Sus scrofa: one gene and its partner. The protein of the gene in region 1 interacts with the protein of each later gene in a biochemical or structural test. Links are inferred from orthologs where the notes say so. Each region holds a gene or a part of one and is shown on either strand. Other genes may lie near its edges. The genes, in order: MCM6 and MCMBP.

Region 1 (3,825 bases):
TTATTGTTATAACTAATCAAAGTGATTTTCTGATTTCGAATTAGGTCACAGATTATGCCATTGCCAGGCGAATAGTAGACTTGCATTCAAGAATTGAGGATTCAATTGATCGTGTCTATTCCCTTGATGATATCAGGAGGTATCTTCTTTTTGCAAGACAGTTTAAACCCAAGGTAACCTGCCTTTTTGAATTGTAATCAGGCATTATGAGTATGTGAAAGTTACATTTAAACAAAAGCATCACCTGGAAATTAACTGAACTTGACTTGTTCGGGTGTTTTTTTTAAAGTTATTTGTTTTTTTTCGTTTGATCTTGAGGGCTTTTTTTTGAGAACAGTTTTCTTCAGTGAGAGCTGAGAAAAGGGAATTTTTTAAAAGTGAAAAATTAACATTTCTTTTACTTGTTAGATGCCAGTAAAAAGATTTTTGTAAGTGAATGAACATGAATAACTATCTTACAGTAATTGATGTAGTTTATTGGATTCTGTGCTGGATCCAGAGTATTGAGTTGGACATTTGTTTCTGAAATAAACCTCTATAATGCCTTTTTTTTTTTTTTTTTTTAAGCATTTTGCTAAAGTAGAATCAAAAACTTTGATTCTCATTGAGGTTTTTACACTATTTCTGGCTTGACTTTTGGGAGTTATCCTTAGATTTTAATTCTCCAGCTCCTTCGCTTGGTTATCTAAAATAATCAGGATTGACTCTCATGTCCCAAGAGAAGCATCACTTTAATTTGCAGAGGCATTTGTTCTCCATCACTGTATGCTGGTCCTTCTGTTACCTTGGTCTGCTTCCTTAACATGCTTACTTCCTAGCTCTGAAAAACTTAGGATTCTTTAGTATGCCTCACTTTGTTATTCAGTAGATACTAAGCTTTATCAAAATATCTGGTGTGTATATATATATATAGCAGTTCCCTCATATCCACAGGGGATATATTTCAAGACCCTTAGTGGATGCCTTTGACCACAGATAGTACCAAATCCTATATATACTATTTTTTTCTTACACATACATGCCTGTGATAAAGCTTAATTTATAAATTAGGCACAATAAGAGAGTAACTGAATAGCTAACATCACTATTCTTGCACTTTGGGGCTTTTATTAAGTAAAATAAGGGTTACTTGAGCACAAACCCTTTGTTACTGTAACAGTTGATCTGGTAACCAAGATGGGTACTAAGTGACTAATAGGCAAGTAGTATATACAGCATGGATATACTGGAAAAAGAGATGATTCACACCCTGGGTGGGACATTGGGTGACATAAGATTTCACTATACTACTCAGAACAGTGCACAATTTAAAACATATAAATTGTTTATTTCTGGGATTTTCTATGTAATCTTTTCAAACTGCAGTTGATCATGAGTAACAGAAAATGGAGCTACAGATAAAGTGGGACTACTATTAATTATTGACTCCTCTTTTTCCCAAAAACTGCATAAGTTAATTAGCTGCTCAAGAATAGCCTGAATGGTAGCTTCTTTAATGAGCTTTGGCATCTTAGGTATACATGTCCTTTAGAAATGGTCATTTGCTTAAATACTAACTCTGCTGTCTCCCTGTTCATAAAATTAGTATATGGAATTCACAGTCCTAAGTATCAGTTTCTTTTAAAAGACATTTCAGTATTAATTCCTTGTCATTGGTTTCAAAGCTTTGACCCTCTCAGTTCCCCCAGAATATCTCCACCTGGGAAGCTCTTAAACTTATGTTTAAGTAAAAATGCTGACTTCATTGATGTTCTGACACAGATTTCTAAAGAGTCAGAGGACTTCATAGTGGAACAGTATAAACGCCTTCGCCAGAGGGATGGTTCTGGAGTAACCAAGTCTTCATGGAGGATTACAGTGCGACAGCTCGAGAGCATGATCCGTCTTTCTGAAGCAATGGCTCGGATGCACTGCTGTGATGAGGTATCAAAATCACTTCAACATAATAGAGAAATCATTTGTTGACTTATGTAAGCCAGCTTTGGTGTAGGACATACTAGCATTAGCTGCAGATTTTTTTTTTCCTTTTATTTATTTTTTTTATTTTATTTATTTATTTTTGTCTTTTGTTGTTGTTGTTGCTATTTCTTGGGCCGCTCCCGCGGCATATGGAGGTTCCCAGGCTAGGGGTTGAATCGGAGCTGTAGCCACCGGCCTACGCCAGAGCCACAGCAACGCAGGATCCGAGCCGCGTCTGCAACCTACACCACAGCTCACGGCAACGCCGGATCGTTAACCCACTGAGCAAGGGCAGGGACCGAACCTGCAACGTCATGGTTCCTAGTCGGATTCGTTAACCACTGCGCCACGATGGGAACTCCCAGATTTTTTTTTTTAATGTGACTGTTGATTGCTCATATGATACGTGACTGTGGGATTTTTCCCTTGTAGAAGGTTGCTGTCAAGCATTTAATGAATTTAATAGTTAGATTAATAGTAATGAAATGATCATAATGTAGATTATAGATAAATATATAGTAGTGAGTTCAAGATTAATGCCATTCGTTTGAGAGAAACTTGTTTAAACCCTACAACGCGCCAGGCCTCTGGACTGGGGATACAGGTAGAATGACGTAGCCCACATTCTCCTAAGGAGAGTTGTCTTCCTTAGGTTTGTATAATGTGTGGATATTAAATTGTTCTTCGAGCCCTGGGTTGTACAGTGGATATTTAGAGGAGTAAACAGGGAGCAGAGTGGAAGAACATTCATGCCCTCATTTCTGCTTCGAGCAAACCAGCTTACTTTTATCTAGCTTTATATTTTTGACAGTGTTAGATTTTGTTTGAGGAAAGAGTTTGGCTATTTTTCTTAATAGTACGATTGATGTATAATTCACATAGAGGAAAATGTACAGGTTTGACTTTTTACATACACCCTTGGGGCCACCCAACTCAGAATATAGAACATTTACATCATTCTAGAAAGTTTGCACCCTTCCCCAGAAGTAACCACCGTTCTGACTTCATTAACCATTTCTATTCCATAGGTTTTATTTTTTGGCTTTTTTTTCCTTTTTGTTTAATTTTTCTTTCTTTTTTTTTTTTGTTTATTTTTTCTAATTCTCTGATAATGGTGCTTTACTAATTATAAAATACTTTCGCCCTATGTGACTTATTATCAAGTCAAGAGTCAAAGATTATCTTTCGATTCTTCTGACATTTAATGGACATTTAATGAATAAACGAGCTCCTGTCTTCCATTACTGATAATTTGGTGAGAGCAAGACATGTTTAATTAGGCATATTAAATATGAGTGGGAGACTGAGCTATTACCAGCAAAGAGTACAGAGATTAGTGAATTTTTTCCCAAAGAAGGAGTATCTGGGGAGATACCACATTCAAACATGATCACTGAAAAGTATATAGAATTTTTTTTTTTAATTTTTAGAGCCATACCTGTGGCATATAGGAGGTTCCCAGGCTAGGGGTCCAGTCAGATCTATAGCTGCCAACCACAGCCATAGCCACTACCATGGTGGCATCAGATCTGAGCTGTGTCTACGGCCTATACCACAGCTCATGGCAACCTCTGATCCTTAACCCACTGAGTGGGGCCAGGGATCGAACCTGCAACCTCATGGTTCCTAGTCGGATTCTTTTCCACTGCACCATGACAGAAACTCCGAAAAGTGCATAGAATTTTGATAGCCTTTTTTTGGGTCTTTTTGCCATTTCTAGGCCCACTCCCGCAGCATATGGTGGTTCCCAGGCTAGGGGTTGAATCAGAGCTGTAGTCGTGGGCCTACACCACAGCCACAGCAACATGGGATCCGAGCTGCATCTGCGACCTACACCACAGCTCCCGAAAATGCTGGATCCTTAAC
Region 2 (3,825 bases), on another chromosome or scaffold:
AATTTGGTTAAGTTGCAGGATACAAAATTAATACACAGAAATCAACTGCATTTCTATATACTAACAATCAAAAATCAGAAAGAGAAATTAGGTTAACAATCTCTTTCTCACTGCATCAAAAAGAATAAAATACTTGGGAATAAACCTACCTTCTTTAGCCTATACCTTAAAAACTCTAAGATGCTGATGAAAGAAATCAAAGATGACAAATATACCATGCTCTTAGACTGGAAGAATCAATATTGTCAAAATGACTACACTACCCAAGGCATCTACAGATTCAATGCAATCCCTATCAAATTACCAGTGGCATTTTTCACAGAAATAGAACAAAAAATTTTTTAATTTGTATGGAAACACGAAAGACCCCCAAAAGCCAAAGCAACTCTGAGAAAGAAAAATGAAGCTGGAGGAATCAGGCACCCTGACTTCAGACTATACTACAAAGCTAGCCATCAAAACATTATGGTACCAGCACAGAAAACAAAAATATAGGTCAGTGGACAAGACAGAAAGCCCAGAAATAAATCCATGCAGCTATGGACAATAAATTTATGACAAAGGAGGCAGGAATATACAATGGAGAAAAGACAGTCTCTTCAATAAGTGGTGCTGGGGAAACTGGACAGCTACATGCAAAAGAATGAAATGAGAATACTCCCTAACACCATACACAGACATAAACTCAAAATGGATTAAAGACCAAAATATAAGACCAAATGCTACATAAAACTTTTACAGGATAACATAGGCTGAATACTGACATAAACTGCACAGTATCTTCTCAGATCCACCTCCTAGACTAATGAAAAGAAAGATCTAAATAAACAAATGGGACCTAATTAAACGTAAAAGTTTTGCACACCAAAGGAAACCCTAAATAAAATGAGAAGAGGAGTTCCCGCCGTGGCGCAGTGGTTAACGAATCCGACTAGGAACCATGAGGTTGCGGGTTCGGTCCCTGCCCTTGCTCAGTGGGTTAACGATCCCGCGTTGCCGTGAGCTGTGGTGTAGGTTGCAGACGCGGCTCGGATCCTGCGTTGCTGTGGCTCTGGTGTAGGCCGGTGGCTACAGCTCCGATTCGACCCCTAGCCTGGGAATCTCCATATGCCGCGGGAGCGGCCCAAGAAATAGCAACAACAACAACAACAACAAAAGACAAAAAAACAAAACAAAAAAAAAAAACCAACAAAAAAAAAACGAGAAGACACACACAGTATGGGAGAAAATATTTCCAAATGAATAGACTGACAAGCGATTCATCTCCAAAACATACAAACACCTCCTGCAACTCAATATCCAAAAAAAATAAAAAATAAAAAAATAAGCAGAAGATCTAAATAGACATCTCTCCAAAGTCAACATACAGATGGCCAAAAAACACATGAAAAGATGCTCAATGTCACTATTAGCGAAATGCAAATCAAAGCTACTAAGAGATATCGTCTTACACCAGCCAGAATGGCCATCATCAAAAAGTCTACAAACAATAAATACTGGAGAGGGTGGGGAGAAGAGAACCCTCTTACACTGTTGGTAAGAATGTAAATTGGTATAACCACTATGGAAAACAGTATGGAGGTTCCTCAAAAAACTAAAAATAGAACTACCATATGATCCAGCAATCCCACTCCTGAGCATCTATCCAGAGAAAACCATAATTTGAAAGGATACATGCACCCCAATGTTCACTGCAGTGCTATTTACAATAACCAAGACATGGAAGCAACACAAATGTCCATCCACAGAGGAATGGATACATATATCCAACAGAGTATTACTCAGCCAGATATACAACAGAGTATTACTCAGCCATAAAAAAGAATAAAATAATGCAATTTGCACCAACATGGATGGACCTAGAAATTATCATACTAAGTGAGGTTAGACAGTGAAAGACAAACATCTCATGATATCACTTACGTGGAATCTAGAAAGAGGAAACAAATGAACTTATTTGCAGAACAGAAACAGACTCACAGACCTTGAAAAAACTATGGTTACCAAAGGGGACAGGAAGGGGAGAAGGGGTAGACTGGAGGTTTGAGACTGACATATGCACACTGAAGTATATGGAATGACTGGCCAACGCGGAAGTGCTATATAGCACAGAGAACTCTACCCAGTATTCTACGATAATCTATGTGGAAAAAGAATCTGAAAGAGAATGGATGTGTGTATATGTATAACCGAATCACTTTGTTGTATGGCAGAAATTATCACAACCTTGTATATCAACTACCAACTACTTCAATAAAGCTTTAAAAAAGAAAAAAAAAAAAAAAAAAAAAAAAGGAGTTCCCGTCGTGGCGCAGTGCTTAACGAATCCAACTAGAAACCATGAGGTTGCAGGTTCAATTCCTGGCCTTGCTCAGTGGGTTGAGGATCCTGCATTGCCGTGAGCTGTGGTGTAGGTTGCAGACGCGGCTCGGATCCCGCGTTGCTGTGGCTCTGGTGTAGGCCGGTGGCTACAGCTCTGATTCGACTCCTAGCCTGGGAACCTCCATATGCCGCGGGAGTGGCCCTAGAAAAGGCAAAAAGACAAAAAATAAAATAAAAAAAAAAAAAAAAAGTGAGTCAGAGTGTGAGAAATGCTGGTCTATTTGGTCCACTACTGTTTCTTCAGGTCCTAGAAGACACTTAATAAACACTAGTTAAATGAATATCTATTTCAACCTCTTACATTTCTCAAGTAGGAAGTGATCAGCATTATCAGTCACATGACTAATCAGAAGCTATTCTCTCATTCCCAAGATCTTAGCACCATACACACACAAAAATGCATTCCAGATGTCCTTGCAAATAAAAGTAACTTGACTTTCCAACCAGAATCAAAATTAGGGAAGTAGAGATAAAGTTATTACCCTGAACTAAAAGAATTGTGCTCCTGTAATTTAGAGTTTCTTTAGATTTAAGATTTTAAAGCACACAGAGGATACCAAATTGTACTAATGAACTGACATTACAGCTAGTGCAATGTTAAGAGAGTTTACTACAGTTGTGTTGTTACTTAGAGAAATTTGTGCTAAGGCAATAAAAGTGAAATGTTTAGGGATGAGCAAAAAACACAGTACTAGGCAGGTTTGTTTTCCCTTAATGAGATCTATTAAAATCTCAAAGCTTAATATTTGGGTTGAACGAAAGACGGATTTTTAAAGGGCACTTAGGTTTATAATACAAATTTATATTGATCTTACTGCTGGAACCAGATGTTGAATAATTCGATACAAGTGTTCTGTGAAGGTACTATTCCGCGGACAACCACTCAAGTTAACCGTAAATTTTCCTAGGGGAAGAACATCTCTTCTTGTATACCTAGAAAAAAAAAAAAAGATGTCAACCAATAAGACACTTGGGTGATTTTCTGATTTCCATCAAAGAGCAAACAAAGCAGAATTAGTTTAATGTTGTTTGAAAATAAAGCAGATTTCGTTGATCAGCTGTTCTTTAGTTTTGTTTTGGTTTTGGCAATATCCACGGCAGAGTTCCTAACTCTGTGCCACAGCAGTGACCCGAGCCACAGCAATGACAACACCGGATCCTTAACCCACTGAGCCATCAAGGAATTCTAGATCAATTGTTTTTTTAATCAGAAACAGCAAAAAATATTATAGCCAGCAGGTCCCATCGCAGCTCAGGGGTTAACGAACCCAACTAGCATCCATGAGGACGAAGGTTCCATCCCTGGCCTTGCTCAGTGGGTTAAGGATCCAGCGTTGCTGTGAGCTGTGATGTAGGTTGCGAACACGGCTCAAATCCCACAATGCTGTGGCTGTGGCGTAGGCTGGCGGCTACAGCTCCGATTGGACCCCTAGCCTGAGAACC

What was found.
Region 2: the proteins of MCM6 (region 1) and MCMBP form a complex in vitro, tested with the Homo sapiens proteins (2 studies listed by BioGRID). The link is inferred for Sus scrofa from reciprocal best matches to the Homo sapiens genes MCM6 and MCMBP.

The regions. Positions count from the first base shown.
Region 1 is NC_010457.5:15,951,080-15,954,904, forward strand, and holds part of MCM6 (DNA replication licensing factor MCM6), read left to right. Parts: intron 1-44; coding exon 45-173; intron 174-1,761; coding exon 1,762-1,923; intron 1,924-3,825. UniProt on the Homo sapiens protein: Acts as a component of the MCM2-7 complex (MCM complex) which is the replicative helicase essential for 'once per cell cycle' DNA replication initiation and elongation in eukaryotic cells.
Region 2 is NC_010456.5:129,682,955-129,686,779, forward strand, and holds part of MCMBP (mini-chromosome maintenance complex-binding protein), read right to left. Parts: intron 3,316-3,825; coding exon 3,198-3,315; intron 1-3,197. UniProt on the Homo sapiens protein: Associated component of the MCM complex that acts as a regulator of DNA replication.